Linked DNA regions of Daphnia pulex. The protein of the gene in region 5 binds, or shares a complex with, the protein of the main gene of each other region. Links are inferred from orthologs where the notes say so. Each region holds a gene or a part of one and is shown on either strand. Other genes may lie near its edges.

What was found.
Region 1: coiled-coil and C2 domain-containing protein 2A-like (region 5) and B9 domain-containing protein 1-like share a complex: the UniProt entries of both Homo sapiens proteins name them as parts of the tectonic-like complex. The link is inferred for Daphnia pulex from reciprocal best matches to the Homo sapiens genes CC2D2A and B9D1.
Region 2: coiled-coil and C2 domain-containing protein 2A-like (region 5) and meckelin-like share a complex: the UniProt entries of both Homo sapiens proteins name them as parts of the tectonic-like complex. The link is inferred for Daphnia pulex from reciprocal best matches to the Homo sapiens genes CC2D2A and TMEM67.
Region 3: coiled-coil and C2 domain-containing protein 2A-like (region 5) and B9 domain-containing protein 2-like share a complex: the UniProt entries of both Homo sapiens proteins name them as parts of the tectonic-like complex. The link is inferred for Daphnia pulex from reciprocal best matches to the Homo sapiens genes CC2D2A and B9D2.
Region 4: coiled-coil and C2 domain-containing protein 2A-like (region 5) and transmembrane protein 17B-like share a complex: the UniProt entries of both Homo sapiens proteins name them as parts of the tectonic-like complex. The link is inferred for Daphnia pulex from reciprocal best matches to the Homo sapiens genes CC2D2A and TMEM17.

The regions. Positions count from the first base shown.
Region 1 is NC_060017.1:7,404,648-7,409,719, reverse strand, and holds B9 domain-containing protein 1-like, read left to right. Parts: upstream 1-1,525; 5' UTR 1,526-1,992; coding exon 1,993-2,160; intron 2,161-2,242; coding exon 2,243-2,585; intron 2,586-2,662; coding exon 2,663-2,793; 3' UTR 2,794-3,651; downstream 3,652-5,072. Other genes in the region: protein catecholamines up-like, read left to right, coding at 1-660, 726-925, 993-1,244; prominin-like protein, read right to left, coding at 4,240-4,249, 4,367-4,798. UniProt on the Homo sapiens protein: Component of the tectonic-like complex, a complex localized at the transition zone of primary cilia and acting as a barrier that prevents diffusion of transmembrane proteins between the cilia and plasma membranes.
Region 2 is NC_060020.1:7,747,461-7,752,932, reverse strand, and holds the start of meckelin-like, read left to right. Parts: upstream 1-2,147; 5' UTR 2,148-2,181; coding exon 2,182-2,494; intron 2,495-2,573; coding exon 2,574-2,839; intron 2,840-2,894; coding exon 2,895-3,086; intron 3,087-3,147; coding exon 3,148-3,432; intron 3,433-3,492; coding exon 3,493-3,614; intron 3,615-3,676; coding exon 3,677-3,836; intron 3,837-3,908; coding exon 3,909-3,970; intron 3,971-4,045; coding exon 4,046-4,268; intron 4,269-4,342; coding exon 4,343-4,543; intron 4,544-4,603; coding exon 4,604-4,869; intron 4,870-4,949; coding exon 4,950-5,124; intron 5,125-5,184; coding exon 5,185-5,247; intron 5,248-5,310; coding exon 5,311-5,422; intron 5,423-5,472. Other genes in the region: nucleoporin SEH1-like, read right to left, coding at 471-634, 708-868, 931-1,277, 1,353-1,504, 1,563-1,719, 1,783-1,893. UniProt on the Homo sapiens protein: Required for ciliary structure and function. Part of the tectonic-like complex which is required for tissue-specific ciliogenesis and may regulate ciliary membrane composition.
Region 3 is NC_060024.1:10,638,258-10,642,279, forward strand, and holds B9 domain-containing protein 2-like, read left to right. Parts: upstream 1-2,133; 5' UTR 2,134-2,174; coding exon 2,175-2,262; intron 2,263-2,347; coding exon 2,348-2,608; intron 2,609-2,694; coding exon 2,695-2,873; downstream 2,874-4,022. Other genes in the region: GTP cyclohydrolase 1-like, read right to left, coding at 1-34; tectonic-3-like, read left to right, coding at 2,887-3,679, 3,757-4,022. UniProt on the Homo sapiens protein: Component of the tectonic-like complex, a complex localized at the transition zone of primary cilia and acting as a barrier that prevents diffusion of transmembrane proteins between the cilia and plasma membranes.
Region 4 is NC_060027.1:837,614-842,445, forward strand, and holds transmembrane protein 17B-like, read left to right. Parts: upstream 1-2,111; 5' UTR 2,112-2,135; coding exon 2,136-2,247; intron 2,248-2,335; coding exon 2,336-2,439; intron 2,440-2,509; coding exon 2,510-2,821; 3' UTR 2,822-3,789; downstream 3,790-4,832. Other genes in the region: derlin-2-like, read left to right, coding at 1-74, 163-326, 412-559. UniProt on the Homo sapiens protein: Transmembrane component of the tectonic-like complex, a complex localized at the transition zone of primary cilia and acting as a barrier that prevents diffusion of transmembrane proteins between the cilia and plasma membranes.
Region 5 is NC_060026.1:1,917,526-1,921,368, forward strand, and holds part of coiled-coil and C2 domain-containing protein 2A-like, read left to right. Parts: coding exon 1-291; intron 292-369; coding exon 370-710; intron 711-772; coding exon 773-1,199; intron 1,200-1,303; coding exon 1,304-1,554; intron 1,555-1,624; coding exon 1,625-1,876; intron 1,877-1,944; coding exon 1,945-2,260; intron 2,261-2,323; coding exon 2,324-2,530; intron 2,531-2,594; coding exon 2,595-2,800; intron 2,801-2,865; coding exon 2,866-3,041; intron 3,042-3,109; coding exon 3,110-3,224; intron 3,225-3,288; coding exon 3,289-3,364; intron 3,365-3,447; coding exon 3,448-3,567; intron 3,568-3,637; coding exon 3,638-3,772; intron 3,773-3,836; coding exon 3,837-3,843. UniProt on the Homo sapiens protein: Component of the tectonic-like complex, a complex localized at the transition zone of primary cilia and acting as a barrier that prevents diffusion of transmembrane proteins between the cilia and plasma membranes.

The DNA.
Region 1 (5,072 bases), on a different chromosome or scaffold from region 5:
CTTCATTTAAGTATTCCAAGGAAGCGAATATTCCGAAACCTCCTCCACCCCCAGCCAAGAAAATAGAAAAGGAACATCACCATGGGCATTCGCACGAACATCACGGACACTCACATGATCATGATGAACACTTACATGATCATCATCATGACCATCACACAGAAAATGTTGAAGCTCCCAAAAGGACAACTGCTGCCTTATGGACAGAAGCCATTGGTTCCACTCTAATCATTAGTGTAGCACCGTTCATTGTGCTTTTTTTCATTCCCATTGACAGCAGCCCTGAACGACAGCCCTTGTTAAAAGTTTTACTTAGCTTTGCTTCCGGTGGACTTCTTGGTGATGCTTTCCTACATTTGATTCCGCATGCATTGATGGCTCATTCTGAAGATGAGGAACCTCATTCGCATTCTCATGGACATTCTCATGGAGAGGGTCATTCTCATGGGCACGACATGACTGTTGGACTTTGGGTTCTCTGCGGCATTATTGCCTTCCTTGCTGTTGAAAAGTTTGTTAGAATTCTTAAAGGTGGCCAAGGTCACAGCCACAGTCATGCTGAACCCAAGAAGGATAAAACAACTGATGCAAAAGATGCGAAAGACGGAAAAGCCAAAGAAAAGAAGGAAAAGAAAACCAAGGAGGTTGCCAAACCCTCTGGTAAATATTTAGTTTATTTTTTGGTAGTATGTCATTAAATCTGTTGTATTATTCCATTTCTTTAGGAGACATCAAGGTAGCTGGATATTTGAACCTGGCTGCGGATTTTACCCACAACTTCACTGATGGCTTGGCTATTGGTGCGTCATTTTTGGCTGGAAGAAGTACAGGAATCGTAACAACAGTCACAGTTTTGTTGCACGAAGTTCCCCACGAGATCGGGGATTTCGCCATTCTCATTCAGTCAGGCTGTGATCGCAAAAAAGTAATTTCAAACGCTCCGACAATCTCAAAGTAACAGGAATCTTAATTCTCCACTTTCTATTGGACAGGCTATCTTTTTGCAGCTTATTACAGCAGTGGGAGCTCTTACTGGATGTGCAGTTTCTTTATTAGCAGAAGGAATCGGTGCTGCTGCTACTGCCTGGATCCTTCCGTTCACAGCCGGTGGATTCATTTACATTGCCACCGTTTCTGTCATTCCTGAGCTTTTAGAAAACAGCAAATTCTCACAAACTTTAATGGAAATCGCTGCCTTGTTAGCTGGTGTCTATATGATGGTTTTGATAGCCGAATATGAATGAAAAATTGAGATACAAATTGTTTCTATCTAAATCCCATCTGGCAGGGCTAGACGATGGATTTTAACTTTCATTTCTACCACTTCGAACCCATTGTCTAGCCTGCATTATGCCTTGTAATTGTTTTGTCACCCGAGCAAGATACTTAATAAAGGTATAAAATAAATTTCACGATTCTATTATATTTTTTCTTATTTTTAATTTTTAAAATTTAGCTTTTTATTGAACTTTAACTGAGCAAACAACGCTGGGAGGGTAAGATGAGCCTATAAGTCTACTTGGTTACTATTCAATCAAAGGTGGTTTATTCATTGAAATTGCGTTATCAGTGAAAGGCGACAACTGTAAATAAAAACCATATAGGAAATAGAACAATGTTGGCTATTGTGTGTAGTTTGTGCGGTAACTGATACCAGATTGAGCAATTCCCTTTGACTGGGCGCCGAGACGAGTCTACAAAATTTTGACTTTCACTTATTCTCTTTATTATTTTGATGACTTATTCATCATACAAGTTAACTCATTCATTTCATTACTGAATAGAAAGATACAATCGCTAAAATGCAGAAAAATTGAATAATGCCCCCATTTATTTCGCTACGTAGTCATAGGGGCGGCGGCATATATTAGACGTAACCATGGCAACGAGTCAGCCCGACAATCGAAACAAACGAGCCAGCAGTCGGTGTATATTGTTGTGATGTAGAGAATTCTTAACGTTTTTTTCCAGTCAAGCACATCTTAATTTAGAATGACATCGGTAGCAACTTCAAATGGACCCGTCACATCTACTCCTCTGATAGCAACCAGCTTTTATTATTCCGTCCAAGGCCAAATCCGGCACGGAGAATTCCCGCTCAATTCCCAACTTTACGTCAAAACTTGCTATCACCACGGAGCTGACTGGATCTTCTGCCACGTAACTAGATACACAGTCAACTTTGTTTGTTTTTTTTTTTATTGTAGAAAAATGACTTTGCAGCTCTTCGTTTGACGCACAGGGTATTGAAGAAGGGTTAAGTCAGCTAGCCATTCAAAAGTCATCTGGGGGCCGAGAATTGGTGTGGAATTTTCCTTTACAATCGTCGTGGAAGAGCACGAATCCCCACGGATGGCCTAGAATGATCGTCAGTCTTTATGGACCCGACGAGCTGGGTAACGATGACGTCGCATACGGCTATGGTTCCACCGTTTTGCCCATCTGTGCTGGGCATTACACAAGAACACTGGCTATCTATCGGCCGCAGTCACAATCTCTTCTGCACAAATGGACCAGTTGGTTTACCGGGCGTCGTCCTGAATTGATTGATCCCAAAACTATTGCCCTCAACGAAGGCCGTGACGGTAATACTCCACCAAGTTATTATTCAATTATATAACTTTATTTCAAAAGTTGATTCAATTTGTTTTCTCTCGTATAGTTCTCCGAATGGAAACTCTGGGCTACGTCACGGTCGAATTCCACACCACTTTTAAAGATTTCCAAAGTTTAGGCTACGATTCATCAATCAGTGGACCGGAAAAAGTATCATCCACTTTGCCTATTTTTTAAGACAAAATCAATTATAAATTTACAAAATAAATGAACACGGCTACAGGGATATGAGCAACACTTTGAAATGAGTGTATTTCTTTATTTTAATTTTGTTTTCAACTAAGTAGACGACACCATTAATGGTGGGTGGCGGGGGAGGTTAAAGACATCAAAGAGCGAATGATTCTCTTAAATGACGAGATTCCGCGGGAGTCATTTTACAATTCAAAAGACGGCCAAAAATCAGGGGAGAAAAGAAGAAACACGAATGAAATCGTAGTTTGATGTTTAAAAAAAAAAAATTTTGAATTTTTTAGCCCGTCCCAGCTGTGAAAAGAGACGGAAATTCTCAAAAGTTCGCCAGCAGCGGCAGCAGCTTTTGTGTGTTGTTATACATAATACAAAAAAGGGGGGGTGGAAGATTCAATTAATGACAGCGGATAGACGAAGAAATATGGAACGGGTGACATGTATAACAAACAATCAAAAATTTAGTTTCCTCCCCTCAATAATTGAATGGCATTTTTTCTTCAAAATTTCTTTTTTTTTTACGAGGGAATAAGAATAAACACTTATCGAGATTCGATTACTCCGAGCTTTAAAAAAACAACAAAAGAGATTGACTCTTTTCTGTTTGGTTTGAGAAGGTATTGAAAAAGTATTGATTGAATCATATTATAAAGAGAGAGAGAGATTTCATCAACAACAACAACAACAACAAAGACTTTTTGCTTCCTCCTCAATTGCTCATCAAAAGTACCGAACCGTGAGTAAGTAAGAGAGAGAGAAAGGGAAGAATTGAAAATCCCTTACTATACTGGGCTTTGGTCTGATGATGACGACGAAGAAGAAAAAAGTTTGAAACAGCGGCCCAAGTCCCCACCCAAAAAGATAGACAGGGAGTTCAACCAGAGACAAGAGAGAAACGTACGTGTTTCGAATGCTCAAACACGCCTTTATATCCTGTTATACACATATAAAGTAGGAGCAAATGCACATGTCATCACACGTTTAAAGAGACAAATTGCCAAGAAAAATCACATAAAAGGGGGGGGGGGCCGGGGGCGAGGAGTGCATCCATGTGCAAGTCGGGACTTTTTTTGTTGTTTTGTTGAAGAGATGAGAGGAGAGATGAAACTCTGAAACTCATGAATAATGTACAAACACGTTCACTCTTACATACACACACACGCGCGATCGCTCCGCCGAGGATTGTATACACACACACACACACAACATTTGACGTCTGTGTGCGCGCGCAGATGCGCGGCAACACGACGACACGCGAAATGGAAAAAAAGAACAAGTGGAGGAAAACAATCAGTACTTCCGCTTCCCCTCCGTCATCAATCCAGCGACGAAAAACAACAACTCGAAATGGAAGCAGCAGCCGGGGGGGAGAGAATGGAGGATAGACGTCATTCGGGACGTTGATGGAATCGAGGACGAGATCATCAAAGCTTTTCACTTATCGCTGCAATCAAAAGACGAGAATCATTCAGAATCCATCATCAACTTGAAGAGAGTAGACACACAGCTGCTCTCTCTCGAGAGGCTGAGAGGACTGACTTTTTATCAATAAAATACTCACGCTGGTCCTGGATAGTAATACGGCGGAGGTCTCTCGTAGTCGGCGGCGGATGGAGCGGACGGGGTTCCGCCTCCCGGAGTTCCAGCGGACGGCGATGTGGCAGTAGCAGCGGCGGCAGCAGCGTGAGTGGGAGATGCCACGTAACGGGGAACACTTCCGTCGCCCCAGGCTCTTGGAGCTGGATCTTGAAAGCGGCCGGGTGTCTTTCCATTGCGTTCCGACGGGGCCACTACGGCCGTTGAAGAGTTCACTCCGCCGCCACCACTCGAAGCCGATGAAGTGACGCCGATACGATTGCTGGCACTCCCGTTACCCGTCCTGGCCTGATGCTGCGAGATGCTGTAATCGTCTTCGTAAGCGCCTCCGTAAACGTGGCCGTATGCGTGACCCGATCGGGTGTTGCTCGGGACTGGGATGCCTCTACGATCTCGACTTTTTTTGGGGGAAAGAAATGGAAATTTTTTCGTTAAACATGGAATTTTCAATTCAGATGTTGGAGAAATCTCTTTGAACGTAAAGGGACAAACCAGAAACATAAACAGAAAAGGAAAAAAGACCAAAACATTTCTTTTGTTTTAAGAAGAAGAGAAAGAAAGGAAAGACAGAAAAAGACAAGTATATTGAGACAAATACACAGTACGTGCAAAACGTTCTAATATCCAGCCTTTCAAAATGCATGCAGTCAAGTTAATTGAATCAACACGAA
Region 2 (5,472 bases), on a different chromosome or scaffold from region 5:
ATTTGCGTCAAAATAATACTTACTGATAATATTTACGGAACTACTGACTTTTAAACTGGAGGTAGACAAAAACAAACGTTTGCAAAAATCTAACAGGTGAGTTTTGTAATATTCAGTTTTTGTCAAAAATCACAAAAATGACCTTACAGTTTATTGTTGTAAATGTCCTTAGAGATGTGTAAATGTATGCAGTAATGCAGCTGAAAATGATCAAATCATTTGAATCATTTCCCTCCTAACAAAAAAACAAATAGCTACTCTACTAGAGAAAAGTGTTTTTATAACAACTTGACCCTAAACGAATGTGACATGAAAAAATGACATAGTTTAAAACTCCATATCATTTCATTTATTTCTTCAGAACAACTTTCCATTTTCGAGACCATGGGTTTCTCCAGAAATGAAAACTCCCAGTTATTTGTGTGGATTGGAAGAGACATATTATTATCATAAAAATTGGGAAGTAAATGTTAGTGCCAGGGTACTTGATTTGGATTGCTGATTGCGCCAAGTTTAAAGTAACGAGCAGTTGCTGCAGAAACGGTTTTATCACGATCAGTTCCGTCTTCTGGACTTACACCCGATCCATCACCTTTCAACACGGCAATGCATTTCCAATTCTGCAAATAGTTGGCTGTGGAAATAGACAGTAAAAACAGCTGATTTAATAGGCCAGACATGGCATTAAATATTTCTTGATTTCTTGCCTTTCCACATTCTTAAACAGCCGTCATCTCCTGAAGAAGCTAGAATAGTTCCAGTAATGTTCCAAGAGATTCTCCAAACAGTAGAATGATGGTCATCAAATTGGGCTGCCTGCAGTATCTCCAACTGGGAAGTTGGACAAGCTGCTGCATAAGCATCTTTCCTTTAATAAAAAAAATTATAAATTTATTCTTATTCCATCCTTAAAATATTTTAACTACTTACTGAGGTGGTTTAAGAATAACTATTCTAACATCTTTGCTTGCAATTCCTAGAATGTGGTAACTTCTTCCCAAGTTAGGTGCAAATGCTATGTCATGCACTGGGTCGACTATTGTGTTGATAGTTTCAGCTTTAGACCAGCGATGGGAGCTTTCACTGTACTCAAACAGAAACACTTTTCCACCAGAGGCGACATTCGTGTCATCACTACCAACTGCCAACATTGGAGGATGGAGACGAGAAAATGACGGATTCCATGATAGACAAGACACAGGCATTTTCAGTGTTATTTCTTGCTGCAAACTCCATTGACTTAGGTTCATAATGTCTGGGGCTTCATATATTCTAACCTATTATGTTATAAAATTGACATTTTCATCTGGTTTATATATTTAACAATGTAATAAATATATCTTAGAACTTACTCCTCCATCAGCTGAACACATAGCTAACAATAGTCCCATGTGTTTTGGAGCAAATTTGATGTCAGTCACATTGGTTCTTGAATCTACCAAACTTGTCCTTTTCACCCAATGACTTTGGTTTTTACTCTGCGTTGAATTCCCTGATTCACCAACTGGATATGCATTTAGTAACTAATTTAAGTTGTTAAAATTGTAAAGAATTTTACAAACCAATTTCTTCCCAAATTGCAGCTGTTCTGTCAAATGAGCAAGTGGCTAAAATTTGACCAAATTCAGGATGAGCCCAATTTACTTTCCAAACAGAACCAGCATGAGTCTTCCAATCAGCAGTCAATCTCCATTCATCATTTTCATCCAGGTCAAAAACCTTGAAAGATAATTCCGCAATTTAGTTAACACAAGAAATTTTTTTCGATTTCTAACAATTTACTTTAACACTCTGGTCGGAGGAACAAGTAGCCAATCGACGCCCATAAAAATCATAAGCTACATCATGAATCAGGTCTTTGTGTTCAGCATTTATCGTTCTTGCTTGAAACATGTTTACAGAACTTTTTAAATCACTTCTTAATCACGAGAAACAAGTTTTTGCTTGCAAATTTCACAGAATTAAGAAAGCAAGAACGCAAGCAGCCGACAGCTCGACTGATCAAACTTCAAATGTATGGCACTATGGCAGTATGGGACAGTTGTGGGCGTTGCCAGATTGATTCATGAAAGAAACGATGTTTTTTCTGATATTGTTGGTTGGCTGACTTGGCTCATTGCTGGGGAGTGGTTGCTAGGTAACAAATATGCTTTACAAAACAAACAAAAATTTAAAGTGACGATGATCGTGTTAGTTGCTCATTACCTGCTTTTTTTCATCTTAAAGAAGGTGGAGGCTTACGATGTCATATTGTCTTCGTTTCCTGAAAGCTGCAATCGTTCCTCCTACTTTGATTCGATATCACATAAGTGCAAAGGTTGCGGGGTCTTTCAAATATCTTCCGATGACCGTTTGAGTTGTGAGTGTGGCTTTGGCTACTACCCTGAATTTAATGAAAAGTCCAAAGCAATTGAATGCTTACGCTGTAACCAATCAATTCAGTCAGAAATGTGTCTAAAAAGCAATCTCACGTGTGAACCGTACGACATCAAAGGTATGAAAAACGCACATTTACCTAGGTCCTATCTGCTAAGTATAGTAAAGAAGAATTAATTTCTGAATTTTTATCACAGTCCTTCAAATTACTGGAAATATTACCTCCGCACGATGTCTGAAATGCCCGCTTTGGCATCAGCCTGATGACACAAAATCTTCGTGCGTTCCTTGTTCGAACATGTGTCATTGTCCTAGTGAATACGAAGATGTGAACGGAACTTGCGTCAAAGATTTATTCACGATTCCCGAAACACCCACTATCTTTACATATAACTTACACGGGAGACCTTACATTTCTAATTATTTGCGGAATTGGGTTAGATTGACGGCAATTAAATGCAAGGTAGGAATTATTTACCATGTTTGTGCTATTAAACACCAATTTTTTTTCTTTAAAGGCACACGGTGGAGGAAAATACTGCGAACATCTGATCAATCTCTGTGTCTTAACGGATTACAACTACGATTCTCAGTCAGCTTGCTCTCTTTATCGACAATTATCTGGAGGCTTTAGCAATTCAATATACTACGACGATAGTCAAAACGAATATCTACTAAACTCCGCCAGGATAAACATACTGAAAGATCAAGTAGCATCTATAACTTTTACGGACTAAACAGGAAAAGTTTTTCATTAATGACTTTTTTTAGAAAATGGATTTTATGGTTAAACAATACGCATTAGATGGTACATATTTATTGATCCAGCCTCTTCAATCGGTTTTTAAATCATTGTGCTGCACTGGAACTTGGAAACCAATCCAACGAAATGCCAATATTTATCACAGCTGTTCGGTTTATTCGAAAGTTTTCAACATGGCTGATATGCGCTTTTATGAAATTTATTTCGTTGATCGGGCAATTAATCAATCAAGATTGATCAACGTTCCAATAAAAATATTGAACCTTGTTCGCGGAGGCGTTCAACGTAATAGGGTAAGTTTATACGCTCAGAAAATACAACATTACTACGGTACTAAAACCTGATGAACAAAGGAGGATAAAGATATTTCTCGATGGCAACTCACAAAGAGGTTCTTTAATTTTGACTCGGCAACTGGAAGTAATCAAGAAGGAAACACCGACTTCGTCCGATATCTATCTTCTCTTACTATTAGGTAAGTTTTTTCATTATAAAAAAAAAGCGAGAACAACTTTGAAACTTGAACGCATTTCTTAGAATTTCTGTTATGTCTGGTGAAAAATCACTAGCATTACGATTACCTTATGCAACAATCAACTACGAATCTATTGGTAGCCTTGAGAATGGAAATTCACCCGTTATTCATTTCGCTGTAAAAAATACCGTTAGTATGGATGAAGCTATGAAATCTCTTGAGGTAGAAATTATCACATTGTTCCTCGCATTCACAATCACGTTATCAATAATGAATTTTTTGGTTTATCAATAGATTGCACTGAGCGTGTTGAGCACTTTCGGGGCTCTTTATGCTTTGATAAGGATTGTCGTATGGTATGTACTGGCAACTTTGGATAATTTGATTAGCTAACTTTGATTGGGTTTTCACTAATAATAAATAATTTCCAGGTACATAAGATCAGATAAAGCAACAATTGATCTTCAGACTCTAATTCGCTTGTTGGTCTACGGAGCAGACATATTGGCCAACGTAATTTTAATAGTGATTTTCTTCATCACTTTTTACTGGTTTATGACCTTTCGACAACAAGAGGAAGTGACTGTTAGTCTTCCTGCAAGGCAAGAAGAACAGTTTATTAAAGACCTTGTCATTAGTGCTTTCACGTTAAAGGTCTGAAATAATTGGAACTATTCATAGTCAGGTCATTTTAATTGTATCCGATTGTATCTATGGATCCTTTGCAGACGATTAGTGTATTATGGATGATCGGAGAACAATGTAACGTCGATATTTTTCTTATTGACTGGGAGAGTCCGAGGCCGACGAAAGGCGAAATAGTTAGCGTATGGAGGATGTTCTTTGTTGCTAACGAATGGAACGAACTTCAAGTAGCGCGTAAAAGCTCTATATCCATACAGGTCATTCTAGTGTTATCGACACTCAAGGTATAATTAGTGAGCTGTGATTATAATGAAGCGTGAAAATAAACACCAGTCATTTGGTAGGTCTTCCAGTTTGAGCGATTTTCTTTAGAAATTCCAGCTACTTATTTCATGGCAGACACGTTTTTAAATTACAACACAGTGTTGCGCCTAGCGCTTGGTTTGTCCACCTATCTCTTCTTCAGCCTAGCGCAAAATATTTTGAATGCCGCGCTCTTCGAACGTTACGTTGAGCACAAAATCCAACGATTTACTGATGTCTGTACACTTTCAAACATATCAGTTTGGCTTCGAATTCACTCGCGCTACGGCTTCTACATTCACGGAAGGTTCCTTATCTTCTCAGTTAACTTTTTAAATCTTTCTTGGTATTAACAATTCAAATATTTTACTTTTGACGGGCATTTAGATCGCCGCATGGATTTGCAGACATCGACATGCAGACCATGTGTCAACAATTACAAAGGGAAGAAGAAAATCTGTGCGCTCAACGAGGTCTTGTTCAGGGTCAAGACACTCAAACGTTTTCCATTTTCTTCCACGAGACTCTTTCAGATAAATGGAGAAAACTTATAAAGAATCAGGTGACGTCTATTTACTTTTATTTACTTTCCGTTTCAATTGATCTGATAATGTTGGATCAGTCTAGCGGTACCAGCACTCTATTTTTCAAGCTGAATGAATTTTTTACATCTTTCCTGGATCATGTAGGTTTATCAACCTTTTACAATATTACTGAATTGTACAAATGAAGGCTTATTTTTAAACAGGCTTTCAGGGAACTCGACTACGAAGTGCGTGATAGACATTTCTTGGAAACCGTACTCGATATAGAAATGTGGTGGAATATGTCGCAAAATGAGCGATCTATATTCTATAACGGTACACCTCGATCAAACATACTTCGTCAATATGAGGTGCATTCTATAACA
Region 3 (4,022 bases), on a different chromosome or scaffold from region 5:
CAGCTACTGGCTTACTGCCTTTGAAAGCTTCCATGTTAGTAGTATCAGATTGATTGATCTAAAGATTGAAAATTGAAAAAAAAAAAGATTACAAATAAATCTTGCTATTTTAGTATTTTTCCTATTCAAACAGTAAAATGGAAAAAAAAACGGGAAATTTAACAATGGAAAAGTCATTTTCTTGATTCTGTACCTAATCTTTTTTTGAGAAATAATATATATATATATTTTTAAACTAAATGTCCAGCTGCCTGTTGGTTCTGCCACTACTGGTGCTGTTGCTCCGGAGACTGTGAAGGGACTGAACCTCTCTTCTGCCGACCTTCTTTATATAGTGCGTAGGGCGCACGCCGAGAAGCAAAGCAACAATGCTCTCGTTTCATATTCGGGTTACCCAATAACGCCGCAAGCTTATATAACACTCAATCAGTCCGCATTTGATAGATCTCGTTTAATAGAAAGTGAACAGCAACCAAAAAAATAGGTGATTAAGGTGTAGCTAGAGCAAATTAGATAAAAAGTGTCGAGGAAAGTTTGGCGGGAAAAAACGCTAAATTTGATGCAAGTGCATTGAACTGCAGTTCCGAATAAGTGAACGCCTCACATATAGGGAACCCTGTCACGTAGACCAAGAACATTGGTATCCTCTTCCTTTATCGTCTCGCTGTATGCAATTATCAGATTTTTTTTTTCCCCCGGCCAAAAATGTCAATCGAATATACGAAATATATTGAGGAGCGCGGGGGCAGCAGCGCGAAAGACTTTAACAAGAATTCAATCGCCCATAGAGAGTGCCTTGATGAATCTTTGATGAAAATGCCATTTATTTTCCACTCCCGACCCACCCAAGCCGACGGCGGGACTTGATGCATCTACGGATCGATTGCTTCTGTGAGAGAGTAGATTGGATCAAACGACTCGAACGCTAAAAGCTGATCTCATGTTCATTCATCGAGCGTTGAGAACTGCAACACGGTGCCCTCAAGGGGCACTGTAGAAGGTTTGAATCGATCTACTTTCCCCCCCTCCCCACCCACGATCCATTCAACTTATGGGGCAAGTTGCGCAACAAGATTTATCTATCGGTTGTTTTTACTATCAGCTTGTGAATAATGCCCATCAAAAATTGTTTGCGTATGTGCAGCACCGACGACACAATATACTGTACAAACTACAAACTGATGATCGATGGCCACACTTTGGACGTTCAATCAATTACATTAACAGATTTCATCAGAATCCATCAACATTGATTGGATATGAAATAAGTGACAATAATTTCAAATAGCATTTCAAATTACACAAAGTTCCATAGATCAATCGCTATAAAAAAATTACTAAAATTATAAGCCATTAAAGCCAAACTTGTACAAATTTATGGTTAATTGGTTATATAGAGCAAAACTTGTACAAGTTTATGGTTATATAGAGCAAAACTTGTACAAGTTTGGCTAATAAAACTATTGCTTGTGATGAAGTGATGCAAATATTGAAATGACACCTGCCTTTTAAATCGAGCAAGGTTGGAGACAGATCTGCTACTGTTGAAAGACTAGGTCAAGGCTTCCATACCATCCACATGGAAACTGCAAATATTTCAACATAAAATAGATTATAATATTTTTGAAAGTAAAATTGTGCAACAAAATCCAAATGGTTGAAACAAATATATATACTTACTTGAGAGATTGTGACGGTTCAATGAACATGTGTGCCAATTTAAACTTGCAATGAAGTGAAATAAAGATCTTTGAAAGCCAGGAAACTTTAAAAGTTAGCCAACACACAAAAAAGATCTTGTTAATATCCAAACAAAAATATTCTGAGAAATTTGTAGGAAAAAAAAACTGGTCCAACTTTTAAACTCTCAATTCAGTACAACGAACGCCACTAGTTATTTCTAGGTTGAAACTAATACTACTATTACTGTTCTCGCTTTATTGAGGGTTCTACATGTAATAAGATAAGATCAAAATCTTTGTTGGATAAGTTATACAAAAGGAAAACCGGATTCAAATCGTGTCTCTTAAAAAAACAACAAAACTATCTTGACAAACAAGCAGACGACTTTGCCATTGTCATAGTAACTAGATCACCCATGGCAACCTTTTGTTTGTTTTCTTTTCGAGTAGTTGGCGTCTCTCTCATATTAGTAGTGGGATGGAAAAAGGGATATGGCAGAACTACATTTAATCGGGCAAATCATCGGCGGAACAGAGTTTTCCGAGAAATCAATTTGCTGTCGCTGGCAATTATCTTCAGGTAGGTGCCAATCGGCTTTGACGTGCGCTTTCTCTCTTTAAATGTGATCGGGCTCGTTAACGTTTTGAATTGTGAAACATCACAGGTGAAAATTGGCGTGTTCTAGAAGGAGCCACTGAAGGCCAGACGCAACTTGACACACCACAAATCGGTTCTGTGAGCAGCTGGAATCATCCACTGGACGTGCACTGGGCTACTCGAGGTCTTCAAGGCTGGCCGCAAATTCACCTACAGATTTACCACCTGGACGCTTACTCACGAACCAATTTGATAGGCTACGCATCTGCATCCATTCCTACACGTCCCGGCATCCACTACATCGACGCTCCGGCCTGGAGACCTTTAGGTTTTTATTTTTTCTTCGTTCCCTTTGTAAAAAGTAAAACCTGTCCGTTTAGGAGTTCAGAGTGATCAATTCTGGTTTTTTAAAAGGTACATTCACTGAGGAGTTGATGCGTCATTTCATTGGCGGTGGAGTCGAGTTGGCTGACGCAGAGCGAATCCAAAACGGAGCCGATCGATCCCGTTTGAGAACTGAAGCCACCGGAAGAGTCTACTTGGAAATAGGATTAGTCTTCCGCGATTTCAAAAAGTTTGGCATCGAGTACTAGACGTCAAAAGAAAATGGCCAAGTTACCCACCCTTCAGCTGCTATTCGTGATTCTACAATTTGCCCTGCTCATCTCCAAAACTTTCGTCTTTACCCAGTCCGCGACGCAAAGTACAGCAGTCGATCAATCTGAAAGTAATAACCAAACCGACTTGAATCGAAAAAACCAGTCGAGCACCGATTCGACGACGGCGGCGACACCTATGTCAGAGAATTTAACCAATTCCTTATCAACAGCAGATATAAATCTAGATGAGAATATTTTCCTTTATCTCAACACCGAGTCGTCGTCGGAATCCATTCCGACAACGACCGTCGCTCCCGAACAACCGGAATCGGATCCGTTCGATTACAATTTGTTCTTCTGCACTTGCGATTTGATTGGCGGAGAGTGTGACGTCAACTGCTGCTGCGATCCCGACTGCAGCCAGGACGACCTCCGCCTATTAAATGGCTGCTGGTCGCCGCCCAGTTCGTATTTCGACCGTTACTATTGCTCGCCGGATCCTGATCGTTACGGACTCGTATGGAACAATACGCCGGAATTCCGCGTCCAGTGGAGTTCTCGCAGCGGAATGTTCTGCATCGTCACAGACAACGTCCCTAAAAAGAGATTGTTCGAAGATCAAGCTCCCGTTACCGAAGATGAGCTTTTCAAGCACATCTCGCCCAAATTGTCCGGCAGATGGAACGATCCGGAGAGCCAAGAACCCAGTGCCGGATTGGAACAATGGATTTATCAGCCGTACTACAAGCAAGGGTCGCCCATCTTCACTCTCCATATCAACGGGATCGTTAGCGTCTTGAGTAATTGCCTGAAATTCATTTTTTTTTAAATTGAATTATTGATGCGAATTTGTTTTAATTGCAATTTCATTTGTCAGATTTACCGCGTTCGCTCAATAGCGCTTCGTGCAACACGGCCCAAACGGTCCATTTCCTGGAATCTGATAACGATTACCAGTGCAGTCTGCCGGGCGAGGATCGATGCCGTCCAACGATTCGTCTTGAAGAATGGCTGGCCAATTTAGCTGTCTTCCGGCTTCCGTCTTATTCGGTCTCTTTCAACGGGAACGGCAATAGCAGCGCCCGATGGGGCGACATGGACAAGTTGGCGCCGGTGGTTGTTAGAATCTGCGAGAACTCTTAT
Region 4 (4,832 bases), on a different chromosome or scaffold from region 5:
CGATGTTCGTCTATATTTGGGCTCGGAGAAATCCTTACGTTAGGATGAATTTCTTCGGCCTTCTACCTTTTCGAGTAAATAGGACAAAGCAACTGCAAAATTCAAAACACCCTGTGCGAAAATTAACCGATAATTTTTTTCTCTATCCTGACATTTTTATAGGCCCCATATTTGCCTTGGGTTCTCGTGGCTTTTTCAGTTCTTTTAGGCAATAGCGTATTGGTGGACATTCTCGGGATCGCCATCGGTCACTTGTATTTCTTCCTGGAAGATGTGTTTCCTAATCAGCCTGGAGGCAGAAGACTCTTGGCCACGCCTCGTTTACTGTATGCAACAATTTGGCATTCTCGAAAAGAAAAACATCAAAGATCGGTCAAGGGGTTCACGGTTTCTTTTCTTTTCCCCCCCTAGGAAACTTTTGTTCGACACGCACACTGAAGACCCTCTTTACAATCCGGCTCCTGACGAGCGTCCTGGGGGTTTCGATTGGGGCGGTGCTGGTGCTCCGGGAGTGGCAGACGCAGTCGCCGACCAGCCGAGAGAAAACGAAAATCAGTGAGGAAAAGAAAGAAAAAAAAGAGAAACAAACACAATCGTCTTTTTGAAAAATTACTAAATGGCAAAAGAAAATACATGGAAATTTGTTTAATATACAGTTGTCGATGTTCGCCCTCATTATTCCTTCTACACAGTGGCCCGGTTTTCTTTCGCTTACCAATGACCGACTAGCATTGACATACTGCTTTGTTGCAACGTTTACAAATATCCAGCGCTTTCCCCTTTCTCCTTTTATGGCCATCTTTTAACCGTGTCAAGTTTACACGCAATCAACCGTACTCGTAGTGTCCATAGTGCAGTTCTTCGCCCATCCAACTCGAACATTTTGGGAACACACAATCAAAATCGGAGCGCACTAGATAATGAATTAATATTCTATTGATGTGAATAAACAAGACTATTCCCTTTTTCGCTAGCTCAGAGATGAAGGGGAGGCGGACCGACCATAAGTCAATCTGAGATAACCGATTGCGAATTCTAGTGAAAAGGTTCTTTGAACGTCCAAGTTTGCACCGAGCGCACAGCGATTTTGTTTCAAGCCAACAAATAGGAAGGAGCAGTTGTCAACCTTGAAAATGATACATTCCCATCTGAAGCATAAATGTCCAAAAAACTCGATTGCATTACGACGCCTTGTTTGTAGTGAATGCGCCAAAGATTTCCAAATACACAACTTGAAGGTCGCAAATCTGTCAAACTAACAAGACTTGCTATTTGTTTGGAGTCATTTGATTTTCTAATCCTGACCTGCTACAGAGATGATGCTGCATTGGGAAAGGCTTATGCTACAGCGAGTTCACTGCCCTGATCACACACGCAGTCCTCAATTTTGTTTTGTTTCTTCAAGGATCTTTTGAACTGCTTAAAGATGTTTAGTCCACCAGATAGTGGAAGCAGATACTGGAGTTGGGAATGTTATAGTCTAGAATTGAAGAGATAAGTAGAAATCAAACCTGCACGATGACGAAAGAAATCAAATAAATTTAGTTGAAATTGACTCTTGTATACATAAATCTAATTAAGAAACAGACAACTTAGGCATTATTTTTTCTTTCCTTCTCCTCAAGTAGTCTGAGATATTCCCGTTCCTCTTTCTCCTTCATTTGGCGAATGGTGTCCTCAAACATCTTTTTGTTCACCCTGCTTTCGGCAGGGTACATTTCTCTCCTCAGATTGATCATCCAATCTTCAAAATACTCTGCCTGGTTAAAGTAATAGAAACAACCAACTGGGAAAATCATGTACATCCCCATTTTGGCTGCTTCCAGTTGCCAGTTTCCCATGTTTGGATTGTGAAACCTGGACAAGAAAGATGAAAAATAATTTTCCAGCCATCGATCCTACAAGTTTTTTCACAGCTTACTTGCTCTAATATAATCGCCAAGTATTTTATTCACAAAACAAGTTTGTACGTGTACCACACAGCACATGTAATACTGTGACGGGAGAAAGTCACGAATGAAAACAGCTGAGTTGTTCTGCTAGAGTCGTTGCCATGGCGCCCAGTTTGAAATGCCCAAAACAATCGGCTGTCATTTCGTTCATAGCCAAAAGCCATCGTCGAAAGCGATGAAATAATGGGAAGACAATCAGTTCAAAATGTTGTGGATTCTTTCAGCGATAGAATATTTCCAGGTCTGTCGGATATACCTCAAGATTTCTCATTCGTATCGGGTCAAAGTGACATAGGTAACTTCAATTCTTCTCAAATCATTCAAGTTCTATCTATTGCGTCTCGTACTTTATGCTAAACGTTTGATTGTTTTATGGAGCAAAGTTTATGATGTCCAATCAAGTTTGGTACTGCAAATGTCACTATACTTCAACTTGGTCTACTACCCAGTGTGGCTGGCGATCATCCTGGCATCATTTGTGGCAAAGGTATTTACATAATACGAAGAAAAAGTCATTGTCTTACATTTCACTCATCATCTCTTGCTACATTTGGCAGCACCAATGTTTTGGCTGGTTCTCGTATCTCCTTCTTGGAATTGGAGTCTCTGCCTGCTGTGTGACGGAAGCCACCAGGATCTACTTGGGCATGTCTGGCAACCTGAGCGAGCAAGTGGCAGAGCTGTCCACCTTCTGGTTCACCACACTCCTGGTCCAGCTGCCACTTGTGACAATCATCCTGATCGTGGCACTCAGCCTGAGCCAGATCCTGGAGATTGTCGCCTTGTCCATCTCCAGTCTCCTGATGGCAGTCCAGCTGTGTGTCTCGTTCGCCACACTTCGTAACGTGGCCCGCCTTCGCCAATTTTAGAAACCTTGAGCCAGGCGAGAGAGAAACTATACCTCTACGTCTCTCTCTCTCTCTCTCTTACTTTAATTTCCACCTCGTGTCGACAGGTTTTTCTTTCGTTATAAAAGCGCATCAGGGTTCTGTGTGAGACGACGAAAAAGAATCAGATAGACAGAGAGAGAGATGAAAATGAAAATGAAAAAGAGAGAGAGAGAACTCTTTTGGTAGTATCTATATGCACGCGAACCGCTCGCTGGAATTTTGTTGGGGTTTTTTCTTCTTTTTTCTGGCGAGTGACCAGCGACCTTGACATGGCGGAATGAAACACACACACACACAGACTCCGACTACTACGACTACTACCACACTAAACTATACTCAACAAATAAGCAGCAACCAAATAAGTGAAAGGAGGTCCGATGAGTCAGAGAATCTCACAGGATCGCCACAGAAGAAGAAGAAGAAGAAGAACATCCAAATGGTGTTTGGACAGAAAAACGAAGATAGGGAGAGGGTGTGAAAAGATATCGTCTCAAGAGCTTGTTATTTCCCCTTTTTGTTTTCTGTTTTGTGTCGCACACAAATAAAACAATTCGACAGGTCATCGGCATCACTACACTCGACGAGGTCACCACGAGTTTTGGGGGAAATCTTTTTTTCGTCTTATACAAGAAGAAGAAGAAGAATCTGAAGGACTCGGAGACGTATACCAGCAGCAGCAGCAGCTCGATGCCTCTGACCTGTTGATGTTATACCTTGACCTGCTTTTCTCCCCTTCTGTCGTATATAACCATTTTTTTTCTTCTTCTTCTTCTTCTTCTTTTGTCGCCCCTTTTAATTCGTTTAATCAACACGATTAGCAATTCCAAAACATTTAGATCTACAGGTGTAATTGATTGATGGATCAGGCCGGAGCACAGACACACTCACCTGAGACATTTTGGTGGGGAAATTCCCCAATTTAATACACACAAAATTGCGAAAATTGATTATTTTTGTCATTGATTGAGTAATACATTTTTTTTTTAAGGGGGTGATCACCTTGCTGGGCGATTTGACGGCCGGCCGGCCAGTGAACTTGGTGTCCGCGAGGTCGTGACTTTTTTTCGAAATTTCCCACGGGGGTTTTGATATTTCTAATTCTTTCATGTATAGGAAATTCCAAAATGTCCAAACGATGACTGTGCAGCATGCACACACTATCAGAGTTCTCCCCCTTTCCCATTCACCTTGTCGGACGTTTATCCACTTGCGAAATTAACAAGTCCTTTAATTAGAAGGGTGTGGGAGGAACGTGGGAAAAGAAATGAAAAAGAAAATGGTCGTTGAGGTGGGCGGAAACGAGTTGTGACGTGTTCCAACACGTCATTTTGGACCGAAATCTTTTCGTCAATTTACCTGAAAAAAAAGGTCAGTCCATTAAACTGGCGAAACGTCATCAGCCTACGTGACTGATGACACAAATGAATTTTATTTCATTGGAATCGCCAATTGATTTTAAGTTGAAATCGCATAGGACAATTTCATCTGAGAGTCAACTTTTATTTCTCTTCTCTTATTCTGACTTTTATTTTTTCCAAATTGCGATTCGAGTTTATTCCCAGTTGTGGGAATAATTTGGCCATTGTCATTTTAAAGTCAAATGCCAAAAGTCGTAAACTGTTTCATTATAAATGTCTAAACGTTACGTTTTAAAAACCTTGTGTGACGGCCGTGTGTGTACGCATAAACAAAGTTCAACAGAACTTATTCCCACACGGGCCGTTTTTATGTGTACATTGTGAACTTGAATGTCATTGAAAAACAACTGCCAGGAGATGAAATCTTCCGATGAAGCTGGGCCATTTCAATTCAACGACATCAAACTGTCCAAATGCTCATAGAAACAAAAATATTACGCAACATTTTTTCGTAATTCACCAGAGATGATTTTTAGACTCAAAAAGTCAACAAATAATATTCGTTAATTCACTGCAACTGGCGAATTCAGTAAAACGAAGATAAACTGCTAATTACTGATAAAAATTCACAA
Region 5 (3,843 bases):
CTCGATGAAAAACTGGACGATGTGACGCAATTGTGGTCGCCGGAAGAAGACGGCCTTTACGTCGGCTCGCCGCCCAAATGCTCCCGTCGCAGGTGGGAGATTCTCGAACGGCGTCTGGTGACGACGACCAGTCAACAGCAGCAGCAGCAGCAGCAAACCACCAAAACAAAATGGTTCCGCTCCGACGGATCGCTGGCCGTTCTACCTGATCCATTACGCCCTTATCTCATCCGCAACATCATCCCGGTCCTGGATTCTCCAGCCGACCAGTTTCGTCCAATTTACCTTCCCGTATGTTACAGTTACAATTTGTTTTTTTCTTCTCACGCCAATTTTTTAAAAATTAACCCGCGAATTTTTGAATTTCAGAACGGCAAATTAGTCGAGGGTCAAACGACGGCCGGTCCGTTTGCCGAGCGGCAGGTTTATCCTCTGCACGTTTTCATCAGCGGAATAGAGTTCCATCATCACTGGCTGTTTGGCGTCGAAAATGTTCTAGCGTCCCGACTGGGCCGACAGTGGGCCGATTACTCCTCGACCTCGGCCGATTCGGCGGCCATCACCGCCGCCCAAATGGACGTCCTGGCCCGCAAATTGCGGGCCCTCTACCAAGCCCACGACGAGGCCGTCGAACTGGTCGAGCGGCTCCAATTCAACGGAGCAGACGAGGCCGTTATGGCCGCCCAGCTCCAGCGCATCGCTTCCTACCGGTTCGAGAGAAAACAAAAACTCAAAAACTCAAAAATTCGTTTTGGCTGATTTATGACTTTAGGGAGGCCATTGGTTGGACCCGAGGGGACTACTACGCGGCCAGTGGCCGCCGAATAGCATTAGTCCGCTCAATGATGGCCGACTGGAAGCGCTTGAAAGACATGCGCACCAGTCAGGGATTCGCCTGCACCAGCTGTCAACTGTCGGACGGGCCAAAGAAGAAGAGGAAGAATAAGAATAAGAAGAAAATGACAAGTGCTGCTGGTAGACTGGCCGCAGAAGAAGATCAACACGAACAACAACCACCGCCACCGCCGCCACTCGATTGGGATGAAGAGATGGAGCGACAGATGGACGAATCCCGTAGACTCTTCCGCGAGCACGTCCGCTCAGAGTCTGATCGATACAAGCGTCAAAAGGCACAATGGAGGCACAAAAAGTCGACTCAGAGGACGAGTGCAAGTACCAGAAGTACCAGGAGGAGAAAAGTAAATTCTAACAAATCAGAAAAAAGTGGGAGGCGTATGAATGAATAATAGGACGATGAAATTTCATTTTTCATTTTTCCCCCTATTCAATTATAAAATTCCAGGAGATGACGAAGCGATCCGATTCTTCTTCATCTGAAGAAGATGAAGAAGAAGAGGAGAAAAGAGATGAAGAAAAAAGTGAAACTGACGACGAGCCGGAAGCGCCAGTGCAACGTCAATTTGACGAGGAACAGACACGAGCAGAGATCCTCAAAAGAATGCAAGAATCGCTCGTGCCACCTGGTGAGACGATGCCTAACCTTTTGTGGACTCCCAACACTACCGCAAGTCCGTCTGATGTCAGCGACGCTCGGTAGGTGTCTCGTTTTGGTTTTTAAATTTTGGCGCTAAATTTGAATTTGAAATTTTTTAAATCGACAAAGAGAACAGAGGAGGATCGACGCAATCAAGAAATGCGTTTACCAGGTCAAGATTCTAGTCAATCAAGAAGAAATGGCCGTTTCAGACGTCTTCCACTTGGCGGAAGACTTTACGGCGGATGAGATTCAACAGGCCTTTCATCTGTGGATCAGAGACAAACCGCGAAACATTTCCATCCAATTGTTCTACAGAATTCGGAACAATCAGAAAAAATGGAGTTTGCTGGCCGACGTAAACGTCCCCATTCCATCCGCGTAAGGAAAAAAACAAATTTAAAATTTTCATTTCCTAAATATTTTGAAAATTTCTGTATTCTGTACAGAAAGACAAGTTTCGCCGGACAGCCGGAAACGCCATTGAAATTCAAAAGTGGTTTGGTTCAGCAACCCATCGTCGATCTCGCCAGCGTGGGTTGCGGAATCAAACAACCGGGACGGGAAGAAGATGGCGAAATGTGGACGAATGGAACGCTAACAATCAAAACCGGATGGGGGACAGACAATCAGGGCAACGTTATGGCGCCAAACAACATCGATCATTTGCCAACAATCATTTCCGAGCCGTCAGAATGGGTCAATCCCAAAGTGCAACTGGATCCAAACGATCCTGCCAATGCTGAGACGTTGGACAAGATCGAAGTAAACAAATCAAATTAGTTTGAAGGGAATTTCTAACTTGAAAATTAATTCAATTATATTCAGAAAATGAACCGGCTGGAATGGAGGGCCGGCAAAACGGTGGGGGAAGTCATTAAAGAAGACGATGGGGACACATTCTGTTCCAAGGAGCAATTCGATTCCAACGTTCGTTTCCAGCTGCTCCGGCGACGGGCAGATGAAATTAAACCGTTCGGTCATTTGACTATGATACCCAGTCGACCGGATGAAATACCCAATCACTTGATTCACGTAATTTTCTAACACGCCCGTCACCATTTCAAAATTGATTCAGAAAATTAATTCAAACTTTCAGTTGATAGATGGCAGTGCTAAAACGGGTTCGTCATTCGATCGGCTGGAAACGGAAGAGTCCGTCAATCCGCTGGATGCATTAAGGCGAAGGGGTCAGCGAAAATGGCTAGAAATTTACCCAACAGTTGCCGATCGACTATCATCTTCCAGCCAAAAAAGGCTCCAATTAGCCGATTTGGTCATGGAAGATCACATTCCCGACATCAGGTAAAATCAAACTTATCCGCAATTGATAATTCATTCAATCAAACAAAATCGTGTCGTCCATCCAGCACATTTGGCGGCCAGTTGATGCCCGTCTTCTTCAAAGCGCATCGACCTCTACGTCCGGAAAGAAAAGAGCGAAATCCTGTGCCACTTCTGGCCGGCCTGGCCATCCATACGACGGAGCAAGTCAGCCTGAGAGTCAACGTCATCCGAGCGCTCAATTTACCTCATAAAATCGAAAGTACTTGACAAAAATTGAATTCAAAATAATAGCACGATTTTTAGTTTTAAATTTCCCGCCTAAATCAGGAGATTCAATGGTCCACCCGTTTGTCGAAGTGTCTTTCCAAAAATCCAGCGCTCGAACAACAGCTGGAAACGGTACCAGTCCCACCTGGAACCAAGAACTTTGTCTTCCAGTCAAGTATTTAAAAAAAAATACTCTTTTAAAATTCGTTAAATCTAATCAAACAAATCGAATTTGACAGTTTTGCGGAAGGAATTCGTTCACTGGCTTATTTGCAATCCATCCGAGACGATTTGTTCATTCAACTTTTTGACGAGGTTAGGCTACTTAAAAAAATATTTTAAATGGTTAAATTCAACAAGAGATAAACATCGATAAACATTCACAATTTTTTGAACAGGTTGTGGTCGATATTTTGGACGACGACCGTCAAAGGGATGTGAGCGTCCACCAGCGGTACGAGAGGCACTGGCTGGGTGGTTTTAAAATCCCGTTTCAAGTCGTCTGCAAGTGGAGCAAGGTTTAATGTTCTTTTCCTTATAAAAGCAAGTTGAATTCAAATTTGACCTGAATTTTTCAAATGCAAATAGATCGAGGGCACGTTCGCGCTGAATATTCCAATGGTGCCCATCGGCTACGAGTACAACCACTACAATCACGACGGACCACTTCTGACAGTTTTAATTTCAATTCACCCAGCCGTCAGTCCCCCCAGGATCAATCAGGTGAACAGAAAATTCAAAGAGCTGAGTGTGTCATTCAGGACTAGAACGCCTATCCATTGACTAGATCAACG